Tribolium castaneum: one gene and its partners. The protein of the gene in region 4 interacts with the protein of the main gene of each other region in a pairwise test. Links are inferred from orthologs where the notes say so. Each region holds a gene or a part of one and is shown on either strand. Other genes may lie near its edges.

Region 1 (6,045 bases), on a different chromosome or scaffold from region 4:
CTTTTCTTCAAGTTGATAAAATTGTTGCGATCGCTTTCGCGAGCAAGATTTGCTCTAAAACGCCTCTGAATGCAAACAGTCACAGCTTTCAGATTTTGATATTTTTCCAATTGGATCCTCATTAATAAAATGGCCCTCCAACGTTTCTGAATCGAAATGGTCGCATTTTTCAAAGTCTGATATTTTCTCGCCTCCAATTTCGCTCTGAAACGTCTTTGAATGACAACAGTTGCATTTTTCAAAGCCTGGAAATTGGCAATTTGGCGCCGCATTTCCAACTTTTCTCTCCATTTTCTCTGAACAAAAACAGTTACACGTTTCAACTCTTCGAAATTGTTCCTTGCAATTTTCGCCAACTGATTCGCTCTAAAACGCCTTTGAATCACTAAAACGGCTTTCTTCAATTCTTCAAATTGCAAAACTGCGTTTCTCGTAGCTAATTTAGCCCTCCATTTCATTTGAAGAAAAACAACAGTCCGTCTCAAATTACGATATTCAATCATTTTTTTTCTCAATCTCCACTGGCGTTGAATCAAAATTGCGGCTTTTCTGAGCGAATTAAAGCGTTCCTTTTGTAATTTTGCGACTTTGTTGGCCCGAAAACGTCTCTGAATTACAATAGTATTTGTTTTCAACATTTCAAACTCTTTCTTCGAACGAATCATTGCAATTTTAGCCCTCCACTGTCTTTGGACGAAAATCGTAGCCTTTTTAAGCGCTTGGTACCGCCATTTCACCTGAACAAAAATCACAGCTCGTTTCAATCTATTAAACTGGTCCCTTGCTAGTTTCATGCGAACGTAACTTTGTACAAAAATCGTTGCATTCCGCAACATTAAAAACATCCTTCTGGCTTGTCTCCTTCTAAATTCTCTCTGAGCCACAATTGTGGCCCATCGTAAGTTCTTAAACCTTTCGTAAAGTAATTTCGTTCTAAAACGCCTCTGGATAACAATAGCTGCGTTTTTCATTTCCATGAAAAGTTTCCGTTCACATTTCGCTCTCCAACACCTTTGCACAAAAATCGCAGCTTGTTTCAACCGCTTGAAAGCTCTAAACTGTAACTTTGCCCTAACGCGACTTTGGACCCATTTAACTGTCTCCTTCAAAATTTGATAATTGTACAATTGTTGCCTCATTGCCAATTTCGCTCGCCACAGTCTTTGTACAAAAACAACACTTTTGTGTAATAATTTGGCCCGAAATCGTCTCTGAATCAAAATCGTAGCCTCACGTAAAACTTGGTATTGTGTTCTTTGGTTTCGCATAGCTAAAGTTGCCCGCCAACGTCTCTGAATGATTAAAACAGCTCTCTCCTGTTTTTCAGCTTTGAAAAACTTTAGCATATTTTGTAATTTTTCGTAGCGACGTTTGGCCAAAAACATACGAACGTAACGTTGGATTGTGATAGCTGCTGCATTTTTTGTTTCACGAATTAATTTCAATTCGTTTCGTTTTTTCACAATTGTGTCGCTTCGCCACCAGTTTGTTATCAATGTCACACTTTTAGCCATTAGGGGCGTTTGCAATTTGTGAATAATTTGCCACAAAAACGATAGAGTTTTCTCTTTGTGACCGTTGACTATGTCACTTGGTGTAATGTCGTAGAGAATTTCGAAACCCGAACGTTGCAAAGCCTCAAACACGATTTTCATGTTGTGGATTTTTTGCAATCGTGAGACTGTTGGAACACGCAGTTTTTCACTCAAATTATTTTGCAATAGAATAATTTCCATGACTCGTGTTAGTCTAACACCGTCACGTAAATCAACCCCGAGACACTTAACAGCGTAATCAAACTCATTCAAATAGCTCTGCTTATGTACCAAAGTGTATTGAAAGTGTTTCAAATATTTGGTAATATCGCCCATTGACGAAACCGTATCACGGGCAAAAGTCGTAAGAGCCGTTTGGCTCTCTTTAATTGGTGCGTTTTTACAAAACAAACACGGATCATGTGCTATCAATTTCTTGCTTTTGGCCCGGTCTAGGAAAAAAACCAACGCCAGGAATTTCTTCAAAATGAATTGTTTGATCTCCGATTTGTATTTCTCAGAATGGACGGAACGGTGTTTCTTTAATAAAACCGGGTCCCGCATAAAACGCTCCCAAAGGAAGCGAGTCAAGCCCCTAACATCCGAATTCGAATTTAGGGGAATCACCCGTCCGTAAATCGTCTCCAAACCAATGCGCAACCACAGAGGATTATAACTCAAAATCACTTGCATAACATCGGCCTGCAAACGCAAATCTAGATGTACATCACGGTCTTTCCGCAACGCAAGTTTGCCACAATCAATAATCGCGCCAACTTTAATCAAAACGTTTTGAATTTCGTTTGTTTGGTACAACGCCTTAGCGGCTCTCCTTAACGCGTTTAGTTTAGCATTGTTGTGAAACCGTTGCGAGACAATTTCCCTGGTCGGTGCCACTTCGATTTCTTTCTCCATACAACTTCGCCACAATTTGGCTACGTCTAAGGGATGACTTTGCGCATTTGAATCAAGATCCAAAGGTGGTGTTAAAACAGCATTGAGCCACTTTTTGAAATTCTCCTCTTGACCCTCTAACCACGTTACAACTTCCGGTTCGAAAACAACAATATTGCGTTGTTTGGCCCATTCTTGGGGGAATCCCAGATTTGGGCGTTTCGGTGATGTCACTTGAAACGTAACGTCGCTTTTACGCTTCAAGGGTGTGGCTTTCGGTTCGGTTTCTTCCCGAATTGTGACTAGATTTGTGTGATGGCATGACCACAAATCTGCCTCAATGGTCATTTTCACTCCGTTGCCGACAAGACTATCAAGGCGGCATTTTTTCGAAAAACTTGACGGTGAATTATCGGAAATGTCCGATTTGGTGTACGTTTCCGAGCTTAGGTTTTTAACATACGTTTCGCTACTCAGGTTTTTTACAATTTCGAAAGTTGTGTCGTTGAATAAAGTTTTAGGTTTGCATGTTAGAAGAAAATTATCAGTGTTATCGATCGATTTTTCGTCGGTTGAGCAACGTTCTGGATTGAAATCGATTTGATTCGATGGTGTTAATAAAAACGACGTTGATTGTAATCGACGTTCAAATGAAACGCTTGGTGATTTTACCACCGTTATGTTTTCTAAACTGTCGTCAAAAATCTCGGGGATGTTTTGATTTACGGTATAAGTATCTCGTCGTGTTTCAATTTTCGGAGATAAATTGAAATTTTCTTTACCGTTGAATTCACTTTCTGGAGGATTTACGGTAAATGTTGGCATGTTTGTAATGTTTGGGAGGATTGCTCGCTTTTGTGGCGATTTTCGCTTAAAGTTTTGGACCGGTGAAGTGTTTTTCTTGGCCACAAAGCGAGGGAAACGTTTCTGGGTCCCTTTCTTGCTTTTCTAAACCACAAAAAATATTGATAGTTTAGAAAATTAATTTCTTTAATGTGCTATACAAATAATAAAACATGGAGGTGTTATGACAATCAGCACTGCCATTCAACAAAAACAATCAAAGCCTACTCTAATCATAAAAACAAATGATCACACTGTATCTTTACTTACGGTCAAAGTGGCTGCTTTAAGAACGATGGGAACGTTTCGGCACGTCCCTACATCATCAGTAACACACAAATTGAACCTCCAAGCCCCTTCACAGGTGGGGGTCCAAACAAGTTCAAGTGTTTCCTCACTCTGGGCATCTATCCTACAGCCACCCCAACTCAAACTAAAATGAAGTTCTTCCGGAATTGTAATTCTCGCAATCAGCTGAAAAAATGGCTCAAATCCTGCCCTTAGAAACGAACAAACCTACTTCTTTTGCATGTCCTGTCGGATTTTTAATGACCAGATTTTGAGTGGCCGTTTGACCAATTTTAACATTTTCGAAACAAATTTTCGGATTTGGGGTGAAAGGGGCCAGTGATAAAACGGCATTATCTGGCTCGAGTTCCGGCTTTGGTTTTTTGGATTGTTGTCTAACAGGGGGCGAAAACTAAAGTTTGGTTAAGTAACTGACGTCCACTCAGAAATGATAAAACACAACTTACTTGCAAAAACATAGTCACAGGTTAAAATTATCAACATTAAAATAACACACAACAATGTTGGAGGCGATAAAACAGTTTCTTAAAAACTCTGTACTTGAGATGAGTTTTTTGATTCAAATGATAAACCGTCAACTTTCGCTCGACCAATAGAAATGGACGTGTTCTGTTGGTTGCCGGGATTGGAAGTTGGCAATCATGGTTATTTAGTAACATCCATTTTCTGGCTGTTGTTTTTGACGTTTGTGGACAGTTTACGAATGTATTTAATGTATTTTTACAATTTTGCTCATTTATGATGTGATATTGGGGCAATTTGCGTTTAGAAATGGATTCTAAGCCGAGTTTGAACTTGGTGTACGCGGCCGTGTCCGCTCTGTACAACAATCCGAACACAACCGAGAAAGAAAGAGCCTCGCAATGGCTCGGAGAGCTCCAAAAATCCGTAGGTTTTTCCGTAAATTTTTTATTTTGTCTAAATTGTAAGCTGTTTTTTTAGGTCCATGCGTGGACAATCGCCGACGAACTGCTCCACCACAAACGTGATCTGGAATCATGTTATTTTGGGGCACAAACAATGAGGACGAAGATTCATCACTCGTTTCACGAATTGCCAACAGAAGCTCATGAATCTTTGCGAAATTCGCTTTTGGAGCACATTAGTCAAATTAATGAGGACACTAATACTGTTATTGTGACTCAGTTGTGTCTAGCTTTGGCCGATTTGATTCTACAGATGCCCACATGGCAGCAGGCGGCTCTAGATTTGATTAATAGGTTTACAACCACTAATATGTGGCCCTTGCTGGAGATTTTGACCGTTCTGCCGGAAGAACTCGAAAGCCGGTCTGTTAGGTAAGTTTTATTTAAAAAAAGTTGGTTAACAACTCATTGGTATTCCATAATAAAATAATTATTATTTTCCTATGTTGTAAATTACATATTATGTCACTCATTATATGAAATAGTTTATTGACTTGATGTTTGGTCAAAAACCGAATTTTCTCAGCACTTTTTCGTGAATGGATTTTCCTCTATTTATTTAACTTAGGTTGGGCGAAAACCGTCGTATTGTGATGCTGGAGGACCTGAAATCGTGCGCTGGCACCGTCAACGACTTCCTCACTCATTGTTCCAACACTTACGGCAATAATTGGCAAGAAAACGTCCAAATCAACGTAAAAATTCTACGTTGTTTCACATCTTGGGTGTCAGTTGGAGCAATCACTCTAAATGATATTGCCAATAATGTGGTGATATCGCGTGCTTTCTCAATTCTAAACTATAAACCAGAAGGCGACAAACCTCAAAGTGTGGCCGGTTCGTTACACGATGCCGCCTCTGATTGCATTTGCACGTTATTACAATGCCTCGAAGACAACAACAATCAACAAATCCTCGAAACATATTTGTTCAATAACGTGATTAATTTGGAAATTGTTTATCACCTGTCGGTGGCAAACGAAGACCAAGAGAAGTCGATTAATTACTGTCGGATTTTTACCGAACTAGCCGAATCGTTTCTCGAGAAGATTATCAATAGTTGTAGCACGAAATCGTTTCATTATGCGATTAAAGTGCTTGATTTAGTTTTGATTTGTGTGGGACATCACGAATACGAAGTTGCCGAAATCACCTTTAATTTATGGTACGTCCTGAGTGAGGAATTGTATCAGAAGAATAGTAAAGAATTGACCGAATTGTTTCGACCGTACGTTGAAAGATTAATCACAGCGTTATGTAGACACTGTCAAATGGAACCGGATCATGAAGGCTTGCTCGAAGATGGTGACGATTTTAAAGACTTTCGATTAAAAGTCTCCGATTTGGTCAAAGACGTTGTTTTTATCGTTGGAAGTAGCAGTTGTTTTAGACAAATGTTTGTCAATTTGCAAGCACCAGGTGTTACGTGGGATTCCAGCGAAGCCGCCTTGTTCATCATGCAAGCGGTGGCCAAAAATGTCTTGCCGTAAGTATTTAAAACTTTTTGTTCGGATTTTGACTCGATTTTTTTGCAGGAG
Region 2 (5,063 bases), on a different chromosome or scaffold from region 4:
CCAAAATCAAGGTTAATACAAAAATTTTATAAGATAGAAAATTTGTTTATAATCAAAAAATAACTTAATATAGAATTAGAGTATGCATAATTCAAAAATGGAAAAAAAACTTAAAAAACATTGAAATTAAAATTCTGTAGATCTAAGTGACTGAAAGAGTGATAATTAAAAACAAAGAAACTGTAATGAGTAAGAACATTAATAAGATAAGATAGAAAAACCACGAAAGGCTAAAAGATTTAGGAAAAATGAATATTATGAAATAATGTGGAGAAATTAAGGAACTAAAAGCTGAAATACTGGAACAAAAAATTTTAAGATGTTAAATAAAATAACTACGAAATTGAAGAATTAGATGTAATACATGATTTTAAACTAAATAGTAATAAAAAAATAACAAAAAAAATAAAGCCGTTTGTGGCCAAAACAAAAGAGCTAAGACAAAAAGTTTTATTCCATCGTAAAGAGTGCGTCAAACTCTATAAGCTGGAATAAATTTAAATAGATTTTCTTCGAAAATTTTTATTTTTTATATTTTGTTAATTACTTCCAGCAAAACTATTGTATGTAAAATAATCTGGAAAATTAATTAGTTTCAAGAAAATACGAAAATTCGTAATACCTAGTTTTCAAGTTATAAATATCTATATATTTTACCAATTTTTACTTCTGTTAGCAATATTCTCAAAAACTCCTAGTTGCAAGGCAATGGTCTTTTTTTAATAGACAATTAAAGGAGCTTTCTGACGCTAAGCTTAATAACTCCGGAGTCAAAAATCAAACGTAGCGCTATTCTGTGGTAATAGGATATTTCCGCTCCAGATGGCTCTAGAAGCGTTGTTACTGACTGTTACCATAGAATAAGAGGTTAACAGTTGACAGTTCTTGGTGATTATTTGTTTATATAAATGTGCGTTAATTTCTAATATTTTTTTGTAATTGTACATGCCACAAGCATAATGTACGGTGTAAGTACCTATTAGAGAACTGTAATAAATTGTATTATGCATGTTACTCGTTAAATAGAATCCCGGGAGTGGATACCAAGGATATCCTGGTGGGGCTGCCCCTGGGTACGGTCAAGGAGCTGCAACTCCGGATGTTCAGCAGTGGTTTAATACAGTAGATAAGGATCGTTCTGGTCAAATAAATTGGCAAGAACTACAAAGTGCTCTTATCAATGGCCAGGGGAAGAATTTTTCAGACGTCGCTTGCAAGCTTATGATTGGGATGTTTGATAGGGATAAGACAGGGACAATTGATATTAACGAATTCCAACAACTCTTCGCATACATTAATCAATGGTTGGCTGTATTTAAAAATTATGATAGGGACCAGTCAGGACACATTGAGGAGCCAGAACTTGCCCAAGGTAATCTTCAACTCATCTACATTTATTCCCGGAAATATTTAAAGAATGTCGGTGTTAATAGAATTATTGCTGGATCTTATTTTATTTTTAGCGTTGCAACAGATGGGATTTAAATTTTCCCCCGATTTCGTAAAATTTTTAATTGCTAAAAGCGACCTTCAAAACCACAAACAAATGTCAGTAGACCAATTTATCGTACTTTGCGTGCAAATCCAGCGGTTCACTGAAGCTTTCCGATCAAGGGACAGTGAAATGAAGGGGGTTATTACAATTGGATTTGAAGATTTTCTCAGTGTCGCGATAAACTGTTCCACATGATTTACTATTTAATTCGTTTAATTCCATTACTAGGGTTAATTTTGTAGGAACAATAAAACTAATAAAACTTAGTCTCTAAAATGTTTTATTAAAAATCCCGTACAGTATAGATGTTCCACATCATTTTTAAGCAAACAAATACTTATTGTAACAACAGTAGGCAATGGGTCGGGTCAAAAAATATTACTGTCGTATCTATAAATTAATCACATTATTTTACGTACATTTTTAAATAGCTAAATTTTATAGTATAGTCTACTGATTAAAAGTGAATTTCAGCAGCACATTTTTAAAGTCGTTGATTGTTTGTTAGGCGTTTTTTTCTACTTGATATTATAAAAACGTTAGGATTATAGTGTGGTCGTTGTAAGTACAAGTTGCCGTTAAAATTCACTTGTGAAACGTAACTGAATTAATCTACAAGCATTGGCCAATGTCCCTGTAAAGTTTCAGTATAAAACGTCGAAACAAATCACAGCTAAAACATGCTACAGCAAATTTTAATCCTAAGTGAAGAAGTACAAACTTTTCAAATATATTTTTATATTAATAAGCGTCATTATTGTGCCCTAAGTTCAGTACATGTTAAAAATATTCGCAAGTTTTAGGTCCAAAAATCTATAATCATTTACATTATTTTGAATATTTAACGGTCATAATATATAAACTAATAACAAATTTAAATTATGTCATACATCGTCTTTTAAAAATTTGTTTTTTGATTGTTGATTAGTTTTATTATCATAAAATTCTTCTCTGGTGGTTTCTAAAGTCGTTGGCGTGATGAGTATTTCTGTTGATTTCGAACGGCATAGTAACGGCTTCTCCGCTGCGTCGTCTTCATCTTCTTCACAATTTCGATTTCTCGTTAACTTTTTCACCCCTGTAGAGAAAAACCGGTGTTAATCACTTGGCAATTTGTGCAGTTGCGCTACAGGATTTGCCATTACAGACGAATATACTCTACAACGGTTACTATAGGGCCAAGAACAGATTTCAACATCGAGAATAAATATTAAATATCATGTCGAAATCTTCGTCGACGGCTGCTGTTAGTTAGTGTTTATTTCAGTGGTTTACAGAGGGGCTAAGTAGGTGGTTTATTATTAAAACTGTATTAGATCGGATCGCGGTTTGAGATTTACTACATGCACATTCCACATTATATGAAAGGTAAACGTAGAATATCCAACGATATTTGCGTTAAACTCACAGAAACAACTTATTAGTCCGCAATCATCACTACAAGGAGGTAGATGATGAATAACCATCATAAGAAGCTGAAAAATATTAGTAAACAATAGAGGGGCATTCTAAACCAGATTTGCATGAAACAACATTTACCAGAGCTTTCTGTGGCTGTCTTTGGGCTCCCTAAGTCCGGCTCCTGTGCCGAAGCACCAACTGTCGATGGCGTGTTGTTGATGGGGGGAACCACAATCACGACTTCGCCGTCGTAGGACATGCCATCCGGTGGGCACACATAATTCGACGAAATTGAACTGCAAATGGGCGATATAGGGGCGCTTTTGTGCAAAAATAGCCAAAACCTTAATGTCACTCTTTTTTTAATCCGATTGCCGAGGTCGGAAAATCCGCGATGCATTGGTCGTTTTGTTACTGCGGCCGTTGAATGTTCTTTAAAACTTTTTGTGATTGGCGAACTTGGTTCGGATGATTGTTTCTCTACAAGTATTGGTTTAGGTTTAAGGATTGTACTCGACGGATTTGTCATGTTTGAAGAACATAGATTGACGGTTGTACTAGAGGAAGTGGTGTTTTTTTCGGCGCTTGGCTGGATGTAAGGAAGAGAGAGGAAGCGTTTACGGTCTTCCATGTAAAGCTCTAAAAGCTGGTCAATCTTAGACTCTATGTCATCTACCTACAAAATCGGAAAAATAGCAAGGGACAGAACTGGGTGGTTCCTTACTTGTCTTTCAACTTTGACTACGCGCGATGCTAAACTGATTTTGGAAGCATAAACATCTTTCGCCTTGGAGCCTTGTTTCCCTAGGATTTGATCTAATCTGTAATAGGGCACGTGTTAAACGTTTAGTATGTGGTGGCTCGTGCTTGCGGACAATATATACATGCTCAAGCTTTAGTTTGGGACCTTTTGTGAATCAGCAAAGTGCAAAATAAACACTCATGCATGTGAGAGCTGGTCTCATAATTCCATTTTCGAAAACATTTCCAAAATAAATAGAACCTATTTGGTTCAGGCATCTTACCTGAACTGTAAGTTTTTCACTCTATTCAAAAGATCTGCATGCCCAGACGAATATTGTTCTATAACGTCTTTAACGTCATATGGCTTCAAGGCCTCTCTAAACTTCTTTCGTGCCACAAAATACTTGAGCTACACACACAAAGCGAGGAACATACATGATTTTTAGATACATACTCGTATATATTTAATTATATGTAAATATAGACTAGTTTTTCCTCTGCCTAAATACGCCTTACACATATGAGAAATGTACGTGTCAAACACTAAAGGACCCACAGTCAGCATGCGAATAACTTGTCAGTGGTTAGTGATTAGTGACGGCCACACACACAATCAGTTTTTAAAATCAGATCGTCAGTCGAAGACGACAAATAAGGCAGACACTTAGAAAGGTTGATTGGATGATGTGATATACAGAGTGGCGAGTAAAACGATACACTCGGCAAAACAATACCCCAAAACTGGTCTTGTGACTTGTTGTTTCGTTTTAGTAAATCCACTCGTCTCGCTTGTATATCAAAACTCATTGAATTTATGTAATTCCAAGGAAAACTACACAATCAACCTCCGAAATACACCAGAGTGTACCTAGCTTGAACGTTTTTCACTCTGCCAAGTAAATCAACATGGCCGGCCGAATACTGTTCTATCACATCTTTGACATCGTATGGTTTCAAAGCTTCTTTAAACTTTCGCCTTGCTACAAAATACTTCATCTAAATAATAATGAAACATCGAATCAATATTGCTGGTTCGCTATGGAAATGAGTGATAAAACGATCATATAAGAGTGCAATAGGTAAAAGCTGCCTACCTTACGGATGGCCCGGATTGCCCCTTTGTGCTGATTCGTTAACTGTATATATCTCGGCTCGTCGTCCTCATCTAAAAAAAAGTTATTACCTGAAAACCAATCAGAAATATTTACCGTCGGAATTTTTTTTCGAAAGCATCGTCTCTGCAACCGAATCCTCGCTATGGCTCAAATTCCGCGATCCGTTGTTGCTGACTCCGCCTGGTAACATCAACTGTTTTGTATTTTACGGTCAAATATGCAAAAGCTACTGTCATAATCTACCTAAATTTTCTGCTGATGCGTTTAAATCCACGAAACTCCTACCACTTCTTGGTGGTCCTTTATGC
Region 3 (6,065 bases), on a different chromosome or scaffold from region 4:
AATTTTAGTTCATTTTTCAGCGAAATTGTATCAAAAATAAATCAAAAAGATGACCTACCTTTTCAAGCCTCCTAGCTGAGAAATCTCAAAATTAGATCTACTCTTTTTTTTTAAGGAATACATTATAGACAACAAATTTTGGTCAGTTTTTTTTGCTGGGGAAGAGCGACAAATCTCCAAGGTAAGTCTAACATTACATAGTTCTTGTTTTGTTTTTTTTTAGTGTTTCAGCAATTTTCCAGCTTGAAACGTAATTATTTTGCAAAATTTCGTTATGAGTAAAAACAGGCAAAAAAACAGTAATATGTCTGACTTTTTCCAAACTTTATGAACAATTTTTGAAACCAAAACAACATTTTTTCGATTAATTTTGCTAACACTGGCTGGAAAATCACGAAATTTGATCCAAATTGATGTTATTTTAACTTATGTCGCATTTCAACTCCATTTTGTAAGATCCTGCCAAAGCTTTATTTGATTAGTTTCACTCGTTTTTTGATTTTTGAGCGAAATTTCTTCAAAAATAAGCCGAAAAACTATAAAGTTTGGTCGTAAAAGATGTTATTTTTATATTTTTCAAGCAAGTAAACAAGTGTTTGAGATCATATATTCTCAGTTTCTTGGGAGAAACAGTGAAAAAATATAAAAAAATAAAATTTTCTTTTTTCTTTTTCGAGTTTCTGATACGGTGTATTGAGGGATTATATCTTAAAACTTTGCACAAAAATAAGTCGAAACTTCACAAAGTTAGACTGAAAATTTAGTGAATTCGCTTTTTTTTCGAATTTTTAAACTTTTTTTGAGATAAAAACTAAGTTTCTTCAGAAAAATTTCGCTAAAAGTCGGTGAAAATTAGATTATTTCAAGCAGATTTCATTCAGAGATTCATTCATTGTAAAAAAACTTTTTACAACAACAAATTTTAATGAAAAACAATGTTATTTCTACATTTCTGGGCTTCCTTTCTTTCTTAGCTCGTTTTTGAGCAAAATTTCTTCAAAAATAAACCGAAAAACCTATAACTTGTCGAAAAATGTGTTATTTTTTATATTTTTTCGAGCAAGTAAACACGGGTTTAAAGTTATATTCCCAGTTTCTTGTGTGAATTCTGCGTCATTCGGATTTCTAAATACATTTTTGGAATAAAAACCAATTTTTTTTTAGAAAAATTCCCTGAAAGTAAATGAAAATTAAATTATTTCAACCATTTATCGCACAAGAACATTTACAACAATAAATTTTCATCAAAGAAAATGTTATTTCTGCCTTTCTTGAACATTTAAGTACGTTCTAGAGCCAAAACCCCGTTTTTTCTCCTTGATTTCGCCGAAATGAACCGAAAAATCACCAATTTAAATCCAAAATTATCTTATTTTTGGCTTTTCCAGGCACGTTATCCAGTCAAAAACGCACTTTTTTCCAGAAAAGTTCATTAAAAACAGGCCGAAAAGTCATGTTATTTTAGCCTTTGAGAAACTAACAATTTTTTTCGAAAAATTTACGTAAAATTGCATGAGTAATTACAGAATTAGTTCGAAATAAATGTTATCTTATCTTCTTTAGGTTGAGACTGATTTATTTTGCAAGAACTTTTGAAAACACAGCTAAAAATCACAAAATAAATTGAAATTGTTGTTAATTTATCCCGATTTAGCTGTTTTTTGAGCAAAATTCCGTCAAAATAAGCCGCAAAACCACATTTCGTCAATAATCAAGCTCTGTTTTAAAATTTTAAGTGTAAAGATGTCAAATATTTTGTTAAAATCGGCTTGGTCTCGTAGAATTTTTTGTAAGGAATTTAACTCTACAATTTTTTTCTAACATTTTTGTTGTATTTTTAACCATTATTTAACCATAATTTTTAGTCGTCAGTTTTTTTCAGTCTTTTGACTAATTTAAAACGATTTGGAGCGATTTTGTACTTGGTTTCGAGTCCGTACTCCCAACACACAACCCTCGACCTACCTGTATCTGCAATTCTAACGCAGCAATGATGTCAATTTTAGCTAGAGTGACTTGTTCTTGCAACCGTCTCTCATAGCTTTGCACCACTTCATCAATCTCAAACTCGCCCGAATTCGCCTAACAGTCATGCAGTTAGTACACAAAAACACAATTAGAACCAACACAAAACTTACAACTTCCTGTTGACTAGTCGTAACAATCCGACCCCTCAACTGCCGATTAAGATCGTCAATTTCCTCGTTCAAACTCTTCAATTTCTTCTCATGCTCAACGTTTAACTCATCGACACGATTATCGTAATCCTCCCTCAAAATCTCCAATTCAGCGTGATACTTATTCTGCAGCTCACTCTTCATGAGACTTAAATCGAACTTGAGCAAATTCCGAAACTCAAATTTGCCAATTTCGGACGTGAGACGCTCAAAATCGGAATCGGACAAATCCTCCAAATTGAAACCATCGAAAATTTTAATCAACTGAACCAAACTCTGGCGCAATTTAACCAAATCCTTCCTTGTGTAGTCAACTCTAGTGTCGCCCCCTGGCCCCACAAAGTCCGAACTGAGCTCGGAACACGAACTCGATTCGGACATTTTGCGGCTCTGCTGACTGAACACCTCCTCCGAGTAACTAAAATTGCAAAATTACGACAAATTTTTTTACAAAATCAAACAAACTTTTTCTCCAAATCGGCGCATTTCTTCTCAAAGTAGGTCCGCAACTCCTCCATTTCCTTCGAATGTTTGGCGTCCAACTCGCTCTTAATCTCGCTCTCACACTGGGCTTTATCCGAACTAAACTTGGTCTAAAAACACACATTAAAAAATTATCACTTTGTGACTTGACCAAACCTTCAGATTGCTAATCTCGTTCTCGAGCGCCCTTTTGCTCATCTCCACGTAACTAGCGAACGCCGCCTTCAACTCGCCGAAAGGCGCCAACTGTGGGGGCCCCAAACTGTGCTCAAACTGCGCGCAAATCTCGTCAAAGTCAAACGATTTTTTGTGGTCCTTGAGCAAGTTTGAGGTTTTTTCCAGCTGTTCTTGCAACTGCGCGATTTCGCTCCTAAAGTGTTGTTTCATTTCTTCGCGATTTAAAATCGCCTGTTGTAACGAACTGGTCAATTTTTCGATTTGTTCGTCTCTATGTACAATAGCGTCGCGGTACTCGACTAACTTATTATGGCATTCCTCTTGGAACTGTTTGTACTCGGTGGTGGTGGTCCCCAGACTCGACGTGTTGCTCAACAATTCGCGAAATGAGTCGAGTTCGGAAGTTAGGGCGGCAATAGTGGTGTTTTTGACTGCGATCAAATCCTCAAAGTCTTTGACTCGTTTGCAAACCTCGTCGTTTAGGTCGAAATTGACGCTTTTGCCGGCGTTGTAACTGTTTAGGAGTTTGTCGTCGAGGTCCACGTTGGCGAAAATGTTCAAGCTTTCGTCGGAATCGGACTTGAACTGGTCGTTACTTAGGATTTCCTCGAGGATGCTTTGAGCGTGTGTCCGCCCCTCCATGTTTGTACTAATGAAGCGCTCTAGCCCGTTTAGACTAACGAAACTACTCGTGTAACTATCACTAAGGGATGGCGGTTTGGGCTCCAGTGAGATCCTCTCATCTGGGGGGAAATTGACGAGCAGCTCTGGCAACGAACGGTCGTTTTCGACGCTTGATAGGTGCTCGGAGATCGTGCTTGTCTCGGACAAAGGCGGGGTTAGGGACAGAGTCAAGCTGCTACTACCGGAGTCTCCAAGGGGGGCACCCTCCTGGCCGAAGTCTATATTTAGCCCACATTGCACGTTCTATTAATAAGACACTTACCCGATTGGTCGAATCGCCCTCCATTATGCCACAAAGGTTTATTTTAACCCATTAAACAATAAATAAAATTGCAACAAACGTCAAGTGTGACATTTTCGAGTTTGTTTGTTGTTGTTATAGGCGACTTGATTGATTGGTTTGGCGACAAATTGGGAAAATGGGACGTTAGAATTTTTATTTAATTTAATTGGGACGAAATGGCACCTAATTGTACAAAATGACACGAAGTACGGCACTCAAAAAGCAAACAATTTGAAAATTTTACGGTTAGGAATTGGGCGATTGAGCCGACATCTGGCACTATGAACATTACAGTCGACCAACTGTACCCACGATTTTTTCTACAGCCAAGGTCACACCAGGAAAATTAATAAAATAATCGTAAATCATTATAAAAACATCAATAAGCTGTAACATCTCCTGACCATTCTAATGTGTTCCTATTACAAATTAAAATTTAACTGCGTTTTATTTCTGCATTTTTTATTCTCATATTCAAGCAATGCAAACTGATTTTTTTCACCCCCTCTATATCCTGCAATTTTCTTTATTTTTGCAGGAGATTAAGCCCTTCGACTGTAAAAAAATCATGTTCGGACAAAAATTCTTTAAAATTTCCCGATTTCGTAAACTTTATCTTTAAAAATTCATTAAGGTCCCAAGGGGTGTTTGTCCGAACATGATTTTTTTACAGTCGAAGGCCCTATCAAAGGGCTTATTCTCCTGGAAAAATAAAGAAAATTGCGGGATAAAAGGGGGTGAAAAAAATCAGTTTGCATTGCTTGAATATGTGAATAAAAAATGCAGAAATTAATTGAATGGTCAGGAGATGTTCTACAAATGTGATATACAAGTCATCGTAACAGCTTATTGATGTTTTTATGATTTACGATTATTTTGCTAATTTTCTTGGTGTGAACTTGGCTGTATGGTGGGTCGACTATAATGTTCATGGTGCTATCTTCACCGGTAGGTCAAGTGACCTGTCATTTTCACGCACCAAATTCAAACCGGACAACTTGCGCAATAACCAAACAAATATTTGAGCTGCAAATATGCGTCTTTTATGAATAAAAATTACTATTGTAATACCTTGATCCGTCTAGACCATTGTAAATCATTGATTTGCTTGTAAAGATAACACGATTTAATAAATGTCCCCATTTAATTTTCGCGTCATTATTTAACCGAAAATGTCCAGTTTTTACTTGTACTATACCGCGTGCGTGGGTAAGTCCCCCAATAGTCACATAATCGAACGTAACCAATTTTTTACCAGCGAATTTGATTGCGTTCACTGTGGGGCTTGCCTACGGGTTGGCGTCCCCCCTCCTCCCGAGACTCAACGGAAGTGTGGACCCCGATAACAACCCACTGGACCCACCCCCAACCCCTTCCGAGGAGTCTCTAATCGCGTCTTTACTATCACTTGGAGCTATTTTCGGCCCACTTTTAACCGGTCTCTTTGTTGATAAAATCGGGCGGAAAAAAACGCTCCTAATCGTGGCTTTGCCCATAATTGCGTCATTCCTGACCATGGCTTTCGCCCATTCGGTGGTACTTTACTACATCGCGCGTTTGGTCATGGGTGTGGGGGCGGGGAGCGTCTTCACAGTCATGCCCATGTACCTGGGGGAGATCTCCGAGGACCGCAACCGCGGCACTTTGGGGTGTCTCATGTCGACGTTTATCGCCTCTGGGGTGCTTTTCGACTACGCCGTGGGGCCGTTTTTGACCGTTCAGTGCTACTGTTTGGTGTGTTTGGCGCCTCTGGGGGCGTTTTTGGCGCTGTTTGGGGGGTGGGCCCCCGAATCGCCCCAATTCCTGGCCTTGAGGGGCGATGAGGGGCGCTTGAGGGCGTGTTTGGCCAAGTTGCGGGGGTCGCGGGACGTTGATAAGGAAATTGTCGGTGTTAGGGAGAGTCTTAAGGGGGCTCAGGGCGGTTTGAGGGAGTTGTTTCAGTCAAGGGCTAGTCGCAAAGGGTTGGTTATAACCGTCGGTTTGATGGTTTTGCAGCAAATGGCTGGGATCAACGCTGTGAATTCGTACTTGCAGACGATTTTCGATGCAACAGGAAGCGGGCTTTCACCGGAAATCTCCTCGATTATTATAGGAACGGTTCAGGTCTTCACCACGGTGTTAACATCGTCGCTTGTGGATAGATCGGGGCGGAGGATTCTTCTTTTATTTTCAATGGTCGGGTCAGGTGTTTCTCTTGTTTCGCTTGGGTCGTATTTCTACCTCAAAAGCAACAGTTTCCAAGTCGATACACTCTCCTGGCT
Region 4 (6,074 bases):
TCGTGACGCTGAAACAGATATTTTTGGTCGCAAGGTTACTGATAATCTTATCAATTTAAAGATCCCGAAGTGCTCTACAGATTCCTGCACAAATATTTTCCTTATGGTAAAACTACCGACAAGAGTAAACATCTCATAAAACACGAAATTGCATTATCCTGAACTTTAATATTAACCTTGATGAAATTTTTAATAACAGACTTCCGACAATAAAACTGTTTTTCAAGCATTTGCATTACGATCTTTTAGAACTCCCTTCAAATTGTTATGGGCATGTGACGTCACCGACCAATATTGCCAGTTTGGAGTATTAAACTGACGATAATGTAAATCTTTTTAGCAACGACTCAATTTTTTTCTAACAATTTTTATTAAAAAAAAAGAAAATGCGGAAAAAATTTCAGTTAATCTATGTGTCATTGTTTTACTAAACACATCTAAAAAAGTTGGCAATATTTATTTTGCATAAAGTGACTCATGGTACAGTTCCAGTCAGAAATTATGTCACGCGACTGTTACGCACGGGTGAAATTTACTGAACCAATATCAAGGTCACGAAAAATTTCAAATTGTGGATCAATTATGTAGAAATTTTAACTGAATAAAAAACTTCTAGTTATTAATTTGTTTTATTATTCCCATCACGCCTTCTGCATTCAAATTTTCAAAACCCTTGCTATTTATCGTGGTTCAAGTATCTCAAGACGCAATAAATACTTATTGATCCAACGCCTTGTTTCCACACCACCCTGTATATGCACCTTCCCGAATGCATTAATTGAATTAGACGCCAAGTTGCGCAGCGTGCTATGGCTGTCAATTTGCGAAAAAAAAGGCGATCGTTTTCGGACCCTCACACACCTCATGCCCCAAAGCCCTTCGCCGAACTGCTTCCCGGCCCCAATCAGGGGGCGTTTCCTTTGTTTTTCGTCGGTGCGCCACTGCCGCACCCGAGCAGCGTCGCCCCGAATCCGACGCATCACGCCGTTACTTGAACCACCGCGTGCACGGCTTGCTTGACGCATTGCAGGTACATATCGACCAATGGGAACGCAGCTCCGTACGAAAGTACGTTGTAAACAAGCCGCGCCCGACATTCAAACGTGGCGGACTCTCCGCGCGCAAAACTAGATCCGGGGCTTTGCGGCTTTGGGGGGCTCAATTTTGAAAAAGCGTCTTTGTGGGGGCTTGTGGCGGGTTCTCGCGAGGTTTGGGGGGGTTTTTGTGGCGCTGGGGGCCCGCGGGGGGCCTCGGTGGGGGCGGGCTGGGCGTAGGAATATTTACTCGTTGGTGTCGTAGCCGCACTATTGCGCTTTGGCGGTAGTGCTTTCGCAGCCCCTCCACCCTCCCATCCTAAACAAAACGAGAAAAGACACAGACGCAGACAGTTGGCTGGTGCACTTTGACGCGAAAAGTCGCAAGTGACAGTTGTTTTCGTGGCAAAGAATTGTTTAGAGTGCCCTTTTTACCGGAAATACAGCCATGGTAAGTGGGCCGGAGGCGGCCGAAGGGCGGCTTTGGGGCGCGGGGCTGCGGATGGTCGCGCTTCGCGCGGATATTTCTGGTTTGTGATGCTTTCGCAAATAGCTGTCAGTTGCCGTAAACCGGTAAATTGGTTTACCGCAATGCGGACAAATTCAATTTCGACGGCTATTTTCGACGGTATTGCTAAATTTCGACGCTGGGGACTTGTATCGATCTGTTGCTTGGGGTGTTTACTTTCTGATGGCTTGTAGGCTGACCAACTCACCGAGGAGCAGATCGCCGAGTTCAAAGAGGCTTTTTCGCTGTTCGACAAGGACGGCGATGGCACGATCACTACCAAAGAATTAGGAACTGTTATGAGATCACTAGGACAAAATCCCACGGAGGCAGAACTCCAGGATATGATCAATGAAGTAGATGCCGATGGTAAGATCAACTCGACTTCGATAAACAAACGACTGTTTTGACAGGGCTTTTTTCTATTGCCAACTTAACCGTGTGACCGTTAGGACCATCTGTTGCCAGTTTGATTATTTGCCTTCAACGTTTGTTTTATTAAGAAAAACGGAATGATGTAATTATTGCCAGATAAAACTTTATCGCTACATACTATTCAAAGTGTAACAGTTTGATCGGTTATTTTTTACCAACGTTGATAAACCGATAATGGACTGCATTGTTCTCAAATAGACTATACAATCGGTGATAAAATCGCAACTCTCGATAATCCCAATTAAAAATTCTTCATAGAAACAAACTTATCTTATCGCAAATACGTCATCGATATTTGGCTGTGACGGTTATTAATTAAATAGCAAACCCCAATCAAAAGTTTTTTCATCATAAAGTTGGTAACGAATTCAAAAAGTACGTTAATGACTAAACTTTGAGTAAGATGAGTAACTTATGTCCACAGCATGAGTAATTTCACCTTTCGGAAAAACACCTATGCATTGATTAGAACAATTTATCATTAAAAAAAACGTAGATAATTTCGACGAAAAGTAAAGAAATCGGTTCTTAAAAATATCGAATAAAACATCACTTTAATAATTTGACCCAGTGTTGGTTATAGGCCGCTGCTAGACACTAGAAAAATCGCCCATCTGTATGTAGATCAGCGTCGGTCGAATCGCATTAGCCATGAAATTACCCCGTGGCACCCAAGATAATTTGCGAAACAGCATTCATTTGTTATTCAATGACAGTTCGCACTCCTAAGCCAACGATGATGGTCCATAAAGGCTAAGATTACGCTATGAATTTTAATAGAGCGGACTAACTGTGTGAAGGAAAATGAAAATGCACAAGTATTGAATATTTCAGACGTGGATATTGTTTTAAAAAAGATAACGTTTGACTGAGTCGAGTTTGAACGGGAGAAAACCAATTTTTTCATGTTGCGGTTTTGTTTATCAAATAGTGACGGAAATTCCTGTTTTCTTAATTTATAACAATGAAGGCGTGAATGTTGACACGGATGCGTAGTGGCGCCGCCACTATACGAAGGGCTATAAATTTTTATAAATTGATTATTACTGCGCTCCCTGGAGACGCAAAGGTCGCAACTATTTGGAGAATTCTGGTGTGTTTTTCGGAGGATGTTATTTTCGTATTTATTGCTGTGGCAGCGCAATTTCGGGCCGTGTTCTTTGCAGTTTTAGTACCTTTTTAATTATCCTAAACTATCGAAGGATAAGTAAATTAGATTATTTTCCGTAATGCGATTCCAAAAATAACAATTCGATGTGGGATTTTTCTGGGTGACACAGTTTTTTGGGTGTTTAGGTAATGGTACAATCGATTTTCCTGAGTTCCTAACGATGATGGCCCGTAAAATGAAGGACACCGATAGTGAAGAAGAAATTCGCGAGGCATTCCGAGTATTCGACAAAGACGGCAACGGTTTCATTTCGGCAGCCGAATTGCGTCACGTGATGACAAACCTCGGTGAGAAGTTAACCGATGAAGAAGTCGATGAAATGATCCGAGAAGCTGATATAGACGGCGACGGTCAGGTCAATTACGAAGGTAATGTTTTTTCGGGTGTTTTGTGTGTTGTACATTTATCATTTTTGTCGGGTATAGTGTAGTAGGCTTGGGACGATCACGGGTCTTTGATTTTCGTTTGGGTTTTATGTGAATGTAGCTCTTTTTTTTTTGGTTTTATTTCGATATGTGTTCTAGGCCAGGAAGGTATGACTGGTAGTGTTCCTTTGCAGATTTCCGAGCTCTAGCTCTCATAGTTTTCAGTCGGTACTCAGCCACACATGCTTCGAGCTGGTCAGTTGTAGTCTTGCTTTGGGAATGTGCTTAGTGGCATGTTATTTTGTTACTGTTCTACCTATCACTGTCTTGAGCACTCTTTGACGATGTGTCTATTCGCTTTTTATGGTTAGAGTTGTTTTTGATTACCAACAGTGAAGCACATTTCCAAAAAACTTTGACTGCATCTTCATTATTGTCGTAGATACAATTAACAAAAACTAATTAAAACAATAAAAAAGTAATGTGCGCATTACGATTTCAGAAGTTTCTTGGCTAATACGAATGAAAATTATTCGTACCAGTAATAACGTTTCACTTATATCGATGTAGTGCACCCAACACGATTCTTTATTACGTTGGGATTATGTTGTGTTAGGTTTATTTTTTATTACTGAGGATCTTTTTAATTAATCTTGGTTTTTCTTTTCCTTTTTGATTACAGAGTTCGTTACTATGATGACTTCAAAATGAAGAGTAGAGCAGTTTGCATTTCAGCTTTCCATTGTTTCATCCCGGCCCATTATCTACAATTTCAACATCTTGAACTTTTTGCTTGGCTGCCGGGCCACTAAAGTGAAAAACTTAATCGTTATTTGATTTACAAGACAACTTTAATTAATAATAAATATTTATAAATTAATATAATTGTGTAAATTTTTGTAATATATTTGTTTGGAAGGTGCAACACCAAGCATCCTCTATACTGTTTCAACTTCTGTGCTACATGTCTAGTTGAGTCGTTCTCGTTATTCACAAAGTATGAAATTGTACTTATAAGTCGTTCTTTCGGTGTTAGTTTAGGGGATACACAGACTTAGAATACACTCAGAGTTTCATGTTTCATACTTTGTGATCCAAAAAAACATACATCTGTGCACTTAACTATAGTATGTATCCCCTTTGTTTTTATTATAAATGAGTCATTTGTTCAGTTGTCATCATCCCCAGATCTACTGTACTGTAGGTTTTACATTTTCAATAGGTAGGATTTTCCAGTGTATAACCAAATAGACACTTTTTTCGTCAGCCTTGTCATTTTTTATTGAACTGTTTTATTTATTTTATTTATAGATAAGGACTATCATCGGTTACAATGTGAAATTATTAGATGTTTAAATTTGAAATAAATGTGACTAAAAATTATTTATCTAGTGATTGTTTATCATCCCGTTATTAGATTATTACGGCTACATTACTATTACGATTTTTTATGTTAATACTTTTTCCTTATTTTAAAAATAAACAATTTAAAGCGATTTTCTGTTCTTGCCCAACAAACACCATAAAAAAGCAACGAACTGCCTTGACCGGCACTATCACATTTAATTAGCACTGAAAATGAGCGAGATAAAAATACAATATTAGCAAAATAGTGAGTGGTAAAAAAAAGAAAAAATTATAATAAACAATTTGCAAAAACGTAAATATTTTACCCGTTTAGCCGATCATATTGTAACAATATGACAAAAATTGCTTTAAAGGACTGTAGTTACGCTATCTGCCGGTAAGCCAAAAGAAAAACATCCTTAAAGAATAAAAATATGCATAAAAGAATAATTTAATCCAGCGTCCTTGAATGTTGGCCCATGATAAACGTTGAAAATGAATAATGACTATAATGAGGCGTTTTTTCATATTTTACTGCCCGATATGTAGACACGGACCGGCCAAGTTTTAATTAACTCTTGTTTCGCTTGATGAAAAATTCTCCCCTCGGCAAATCTATTGCCACCCCTCCTCACCCCTTAGTGATTAGCAGTAGGTCATCAGGTGCGCCACCACTGACCTACCGCGTGTGAGTAATAATTCCGCGCACCTTTTATAAATAGATGGATTCGTCCGAGTTGTTTCGCCGGATTCAAGTCTTCAGAAGTAGCGTCGTTAGCGTCGCGACGCCGTGACCGTGGATGCTACATCTCTAAAAATAGTGTCAGGTGTCGGCAATTACGTTCTTTACCTTAATGAGGCCTTATTTACGAATTGCCCGAATCAATTTGCCAAGGTAATATCGATTGATGATTTCATTTCGTTTGTAAAACATTGCGCCTGCCCTGCACATGTCGCTACATTTCAGACTGTTGTAAGAACCACCGTCACCATGAATCTGATGTTCCGGAAAAACTTCCGGGAGCAAAAAAGCGGCGTCGCGAGCAAAACTTCGAAAGCTTGTGCCAACAGACATGCGAGCAAGAGGGCCAGTCGGGAGCAGGGGTACACCCCCATGGAGGAGCACCACTATCGGACACATCTGTTCTTCAACCCGTCGAGATGTAGTTACGCTCAGGCGGCTGAAGACATGGACGGTACGCTTTATTCATGCT
Region 5 (6,022 bases), on a different chromosome or scaffold from region 4:
CGATTTATTTGTAAATAAATAGTCCGAAAGCTGACTCATCTTGTACATTATTCTTTTATGAAGAAACATAGCGTACAATGTCAAGGTTGCCGAGTCTACGACCTTTGATCTAGACGGCTATACATCGCGAAAGATCAAGCAAGCCACGCGGCATCTCCACGCCTACTTTTTTCTACTTTCTACTTTAACACACTGTACACTGATCCACATTTCATTGCATACAATGGCTCATCTCTCGCGAAAAAAAGGAAAATTCTCATTGTTCCATTCATTAAAAAATGCTTAGATATGGAAAACGTGTAATGTTTACGTAAGGTACAATCTGGAGTAGTGTGTTTCGGTTTCATTGTTAATTTTGGACAGCGTGAGAGATGAGCGGTTTAGACACCGTTTTCGATTAACATCGACATAATTAAATTAAGGTCACAAATGAACAATTGACGAAAGTCGAATCATAACGGTCATCCAGCACCACTCTGTATATAGTGCGTTCGCTGGCATATGGCTTCCGCGAAAATTCGCAATGCAGTTGGGAAATTTCGTCTGCAAAGTTGGCGATTTATACAGAGAGTGTCAAAAAGAAAGGTTCAAAATGGGTCGAAATTTACATTCGAAAGGATTGTAATTCACACAAATTGCAAAATTTTGACACTTTCTCCACTTTTATTCAAATCAAACAACAATTTCGTGCATGTTTTCCCCAGCGATGAGAGAATTTTCCTAAAATAAGAAATGCATCAAGTCGCGGTGACCTTTAAATGTCAAATTAACACAGCCAACTAATAAAGCGTATTGACGAGTGACGCTTAATTAACTGTGTCTATAAAAATTTATTTCTTGTCATGGTGACGGTCAAGGAATGGCAAAAATGCTGTTGAAGTGTTAAGTTTTTAAACCAATTTACCATTTTCTTATCAGAGGTGTCTCATTTCATCATTAAAACTTTACAGTTAATTTACAAGTTTACAACAATAACGTTACATTTATTACGATGTTTCGTCAGGTGGCGATATGGTTCCATTTTTTGTCAAGGAAATCACAGACTACAATATCCTACTTATAGAATAAGAGAGAAATCTCGTGTCTAGTAGATTATAAGAAAATTTATCAACTCCAATAATAATTTAAATTTGCAATGTAAAACGGACTTTCTATACACTTTATTTATATTTGTTTGTATCAATGGAGCTTGTGTCTCGTGGCTGTTGATAAGCGCAAATTGTGACATTCTAGAAGTATTGTGAAAGTCGGGAACTTTAAAAATCTTCTGCAATTAATTTATAGGCACGGTAGGTATAGTCTCAGTTAGCTATGAGCTGATTAACTTAATTAGATTGTCACCGGCAAATAACAGAAATATCTTCTGCTACATTCCGTTTCAATTTAATAAACGACACGAGAATGATTTTAAATACAAAAATTCGTTCACATTATCAATTATCCAAGTTCTGTTTTTCGTAACTGTCAGAAATTATCATAATAAGATCAGCCCACCCGTGGAAAAGTGACAGCTGCCTACTATGACCTGTTTCTTTTTTAAAAATGCGCTGGTGCTTTGGATGGGATAGGTATGTCAAAAGAAATTCCACAGCCTTCTTTTGTTTTTTTAACATTTAATTAAAAGTCAATAATTAACTGACACAATAAAATGAAGAAATCAATAGGAAAATAGGTATTAAAATAAATCTTTTTTTTGTTTCTTGTATTATATTTTTTGGTGTTTTCTGTGCACTTTTACAATTTCTTATAAGGGTATATTTTTTCTAATTCCAATAAATGCCTAGCCTTTAATCAGTAATGCCGTTACATATTTTTGAAGAAGTTAAGTACTGTAATAATAATTATACAAATTATTTCCCAAAATTAGATAATATTAATTCATTCATTTATTACTAATCTATCATTATATTATAATTATCTATACTGCCAAAAACGCCAGAAATTGATAAAAAATTTTTTGAAGAAATTGTATCCGTTGTCCACGGTCATTAGGACTCATAACTTTTTTTATTTTTTTTTATTTCGGTGTTTTTTGTTGTTGTGTATTCTTTCGTTTTAGGATTCGAAGCCTTTTTGGATCATTTTGACGGAGCTGTCACTTGGATACGGCATTCAAAATTTAAATTAAGCGGCACATTACGCTCAAATTTCATAGGTGACTTGATGAACAACCATTTTTGAATATAATAACTACTATAACTAACACCCAAAAAAACTATTTCTATCCACATTGTAAAACGATATTTTAACATTGTTTTGTGCAAAAAATACATAAAAAAATATCGCTAGATCCAGATTTATTTACTCAAATTCAATTCGCGATTACTTTGACCCTTGTCAAGTAATCTACATTTTTTATTATTTGTTATTATAGTCCCAGTACAGGGAAAAAATGAAATAGTCCTTTTTTAACACACGGTTTAAGATGCAAGGCCACACCTTCGCCATTTCTTTTGATGGTGAGTGTACACCGTAATGAGTTTTCTCATTTCTTGTTTATTTTGTCTTAAAGTAGTACCAATGTGTTTTTATTTTTTATTTTGTTTTGTACTTTTATTGTTTGGGTTAAATTTAATCCATCCTTTCTTATTATTTAATCTAAACTGGAAAAACACGTAAGGAAGCACTAAAAAATGAAGTACCACGAAGAATGGTACTAATAAAAGCCATTGTTGTGCCAATGATTGTCACGGTGTTAATACAAACAATTTCGATGGTAATTATCTCCGCGAAGCGATTAATGTCCTATTGGCGTTTATTTAGCAGAAATTTGACTGGAATGGCAACAGTGGGTTCAGGTAAATTACCTGTGGCTCACGCTAGGTAAAGTAGGCGTATCGAACCCCGGCAAATTCCTTGCCCAAATTACCCGGATCTGCCCCGTCCACGTGACCGCTTACAAAACAGCTTACTGTACATACAGTAATTGTTTGCATTAAACAATGATAAACCATATAGATAACAGTATTTACAAGACACGGCGTCCAAGAAGAGAATAGCGGAATGTGTGTGGACTTAAGGCAAAGTACCGGTAAATCCGAAGAATGTCTAACATCTCATCATAAAAAACTTGTTATCTGAGCCGACACCTGTTCCCAATCCCTAAGCCATCGGATTTCCATCGCGAACTCGCTTTCCTCGACTTCTTTCCGGAGGATGGTAGAGCGTGAAGATGCCTCTGGCCGTAAAGAAGCGCGACGTGGAAAGAAGTTGGGACTTTACCTGGGTTTTACAATGTAATCCTTAACATAATGTTGGGTAATTTGAAGAGGACACACAACGCGACACTAACACCTCATCAGGTCCCGGTACTAACGTTCCGCCGCACTCAACTATCACCAAATGGTCAAGTTTCTGTTACTTTAATTGCTTGCGCCCAGGTGAGGCAGCGCCATCGACGGACAGGTGTGGAAGTTGAGGAGGAGGCAGGTGACTGTAGAGGGCACCACGGGCAATGTCACGGGTTCGACTACCTCAATGACGATGTGAGTCATCCTCCACTCAAAATTTTGAGTCAATTTGAAGTTTGAGTAATGGTTGGGGGGCTCTATGCTTTGTTTAATTATCGCCCAGTCGGAGAAACTCCAACCGGGCCTCAAAAAATTGTCATAGACTCATTTGTATTGTCCCACTCCACGGAAATCTTTAGTAAAAGGCGAAAGATTTATTCGCTTTGAAGTGAGACCAGAGTGGGGAAAAATTTGGCTGATGGGATACTTATGTCAGGGAGGCGGTTAGGAAGTCGGGACTTCTAATAGGTCGCACCCTCTAACGATGTGCGCTCAAACTATTAGATAACGGCGAACAGATAAGTGTTCGAAAAAAGTTAAGGATTTTATTGATTGAAGATGAATGTATTAAAACTTTTTTCGGTCAGTTTAACATTAATTCTAATGAATGTAGTAACAATGTTTAAATCCACAACTAATATTATGCCCAGTTTTGAACTATAATGAACTATTTTATTAGAATTGTGCCTGTTTTTCAACGCTTTGTCTTTTTTACGTCTTTTCTCTTTGTTCACTAAATTTCCATTTTTAAAAAATGTTTCTTTACTTTGTGATCTTTGATAAAAATTATCGCCCACTCAGAGAAAGTTCAACCGGACCTCAAAAATTGTTAAACCCAAAAAGTTGCATTGTAAAATGCGAATAAAAGATTTATTCGACGATAATTTAGCAAAAAGTTGGACTCTAATTACGACTCAGTCTCAAATTATTGAGAATTTCGTAAAATTCCAACGGATAACTGTAAAGTGATAAAGATTATATCTAATGTTGCAATTTTCGTTTTTATTTATGCGATTTTTACTTGTATGGCAACGTTAATTCATTAGGTAACAGTTAATCAAACTGAAGAGTTAAAAAATTGAATAAATAAATAAATTTACCCTACTTTACCTATTTGTTGTCTAATTTCAAACAATTACAATATACATACGGCATATCTCTTCATTGTTGTAATGTTTTATGGCATGTTTCAATAAATAATTTCAATAAATTTCGTTTTTATGTTTTGTCCTTACATCATCTACTTTTTTTTAGCAAAGTTACTGCAACAGGATTTTTTTTCACTGACTTATACAGGGTGTCTCAAAATTTATTCTTATTTAAATGCAGGCTAAAAGTTTCAGTGTTTATTGTTATTTATGGTGCAGATGATAGTGAAGAATAATAATGAATAATTTCTCAAAAATTAGCTTTATTTTGGGGTAAAAAAAATCTAAAATTTTTGTAATTTAATGTCGTTTTATTTTTAAGAAAAATTACAAAAAATAGTATTTTTTTATTTTAAAATAAAGCTAATTTTTCGAGAAATTATTGTACACTCTAATTTTCCACCATGCATAACAATAAACACTGAACTTTTTAGCTAAGCGTTTGAAGAAAACGCAATTCAAATTGTGGGGAAGCCCCGAGATGATCAAATTTAATCTTTAAAAATTAACTGAATGGAAATTTTAAATGATAATAGAAAAAAAAATGGGTCAAAGACAAGAGGAACCTGAAAACTATTTTCAGTACATTTTTTTAATCGTATAAAATTTTTTTTTTCAATTTCAAAATTAAAATATGGAATATTCGAAAAAAAAACTAAAAAACGTCTGAATTTACTTATAACGTAATTTTTCAACTAGTTGTTACGAGTTTTTTTTTTCAACAGTTAATCTCCGATCTTCAAATCAGAAAGTTTATGTTTAGGTCGGAAGGGAAAAAAATGTTTCTAGATTTTTGCAAAAGCGCTACATAGTTCAGAATTTCATAATTCAGACAACTATCGAATTTGGAATTTTTGGATTCACTTTTGAAATTTACTCGCAAAAACCTGAATCGGTTTGGAAATCTTTACTTTACTAAATGAGCAGTTTGATACAATTTTAATGGCCCACATCATCATGGAAAAAGTGTGAATCGTGTTCCCAAGGTCGTTTGCCATAAATAAATAACCCAATTAAACAAACTCTAGACTTCCGGAAAGTGCGATCAACAATTTTTTGTGCACGAATTCGTTAATTCTGAGGACTAGTAGCCAAAAACATACGAAATTGGCCAAAAAACCTAGCGCAAACCTTATCATATCACTCCTTATCTAACCCAAATTCGGAACCTCGACTTTGTTTTGAGCGTAATTTACAACAGTTGGTTCGATCATCCCAAAATAAACAATTCATAGTGCACCGAACTTCGCCCCCTTCCACAAACATTAAAATTCCTCCACCTTCACCTAAAATTTTTTTGGCTTTCTTCCAACTCAAACTTTGCCGCCGTCCCCCACCAGACCTCATCCTAGAAACATTTAACACCGCGAGTTTGGCAACGCGGAATATTCCCGTCACAGCTGTCAAGTAGTTCAGAGGCGGTTGTGTCCTGTGATCTCGTTTAGTGTTAAATTAAAATAAAGTCTCTCTAAACTACGATGAAAATCTGGACGAGTGAGCACACTTTCAAGTGAGTATCGCAAATTCGTGAGGAATTAAACTAATTTCGGCGAATTCAGTCACCCCTGGGAGACGGTGGCCACT

What was found.
Region 1: the proteins of Cam (region 4) and asp interact in a two-hybrid assay, tested with the Drosophila melanogaster proteins (2 studies listed by BioGRID). The link is inferred for Tribolium castaneum from reciprocal best matches to the Drosophila melanogaster genes Cam and asp.
Region 2: the proteins of Cam (region 4) and potassium voltage-gated channel subfamily KQT member 4 interact in a two-hybrid assay, tested with the Drosophila melanogaster proteins (2 studies listed by BioGRID). The link is inferred for Tribolium castaneum from reciprocal best matches to the Drosophila melanogaster genes Cam and KCNQ.
Region 3: the proteins of Cam (region 4) and Plp interact in a two-hybrid assay, tested with the Drosophila melanogaster proteins (2 studies listed by BioGRID). The link is inferred for Tribolium castaneum from reciprocal best matches to the Drosophila melanogaster genes Cam and Plp.
Region 5: the proteins of Cam (region 4) and ck interact in binary tests that used the Drosophila melanogaster proteins (3 or more experiments, as listed by UniProt). The link is inferred for Tribolium castaneum from reciprocal best matches to the Drosophila melanogaster genes Cam and ck.

What each region holds. Positions count from the first base shown.
Region 1 is NC_087402.1:360,758-366,802, reverse strand, and holds the start of asp (abnormal spindle-like microcephaly-associated protein homolog), read right to left. Parts: upstream 4,172-6,045; 5' UTR 4,040-4,171; coding exon 4,028-4,039; intron 3,973-4,027; coding exon 3,793-3,972; intron 3,747-3,792; coding exon 3,543-3,746; intron 3,378-3,542; coding exon 1-3,377. Other genes in the region: Tnpo-SR (transportin-3), read left to right, coding at 4,353-4,469, 4,524-4,879, 5,076-5,993, 6,043-6,045. UniProt on the Drosophila melanogaster protein: Required to maintain the structure of the centrosomal microtubule organizing center (MTOC) during mitosis. May have a preferential role in regulating neurogenesis. Required for germ cell mitosis and oocyte differentiation.
Region 2 is NC_087403.1:4,839,722-4,844,784, reverse strand, and holds the end of potassium voltage-gated channel subfamily KQT member 4, read right to left. Parts: coding exon 4,999-5,063; intron 4,936-4,998; coding exon 4,849-4,935; intron 4,806-4,848; coding exon 4,735-4,805; intron 4,637-4,734; coding exon 4,509-4,636; intron 4,050-4,508; coding exon of another isoform or gene 3,922-4,049; intron 3,718-3,921; coding exon 3,621-3,717; intron 3,573-3,620; coding exon 3,241-3,572; intron 3,193-3,240; coding exon 3,035-3,192; exon of another isoform or gene 2,971-3,034; coding exon of another isoform or gene 2,933-2,970; exon of another isoform or gene 2,904-2,932; intron 2,574-2,903; coding exon 2,380-2,573; 3' UTR 1,759-2,379; downstream 1-1,758. Other genes in the region: Pef (peflin), read left to right, coding at 960-968, 1,027-1,372, 1,464-1,690.
Region 3 is NC_087399.1:2,047,508-2,053,572, reverse strand, and holds the start of Plp (pericentrin), read right to left. Parts: upstream 4,131-6,065; 5' UTR 3,808-4,130; coding exon 3,784-3,807; intron 3,729-3,783; coding exon 2,817-3,728; intron 2,771-2,816; coding exon 2,643-2,770; intron 2,596-2,642; coding exon 2,139-2,595; intron 2,083-2,138; coding exon 1,966-2,082; intron 1-1,965. Other genes in the region: facilitated trehalose transporter Tret1, read left to right, coding at 4,977-5,013, 5,063-6,065.
Region 4 is NC_087397.1:1,842,463-1,848,536, reverse strand, and holds Cam (calmodulin), read left to right. Parts: upstream 1-1,325; 5' UTR 1,326-1,482; coding exon 1,483-1,485; intron 1,486-1,736; coding exon 1,737-1,911; intron 1,912-3,273; coding exon 3,274-3,516; intron 3,517-4,195; coding exon 4,196-4,224; 3' UTR 4,225-4,896; downstream 4,897-6,074. Other genes in the region: uncharacterized protein LOC660922, read left to right, coding at 5,852-6,056. UniProt on the Drosophila melanogaster protein: Calmodulin mediates the control of a large number of enzymes, ion channels and other proteins by Ca(2+). Among the enzymes to be stimulated by the calmodulin-Ca(2+) complex are a number of protein kinases and phosphatases.
Region 5 is NC_087398.1:4,866,180-4,872,201, reverse strand, and holds the start of ck (myosin-VIIa), read right to left. Parts: upstream 3,698-6,022; 5' UTR 3,223-3,697; intron 1-3,222. Other genes in the region: slmo (protein slowmo), read left to right, coding at 5,917-5,948, 5,998-6,022. UniProt on the Drosophila melanogaster protein: Myosins are actin-based motor molecules with ATPase activity. Unconventional myosins serve in intracellular movements: can function in cells as a single-molecule cargo transporter.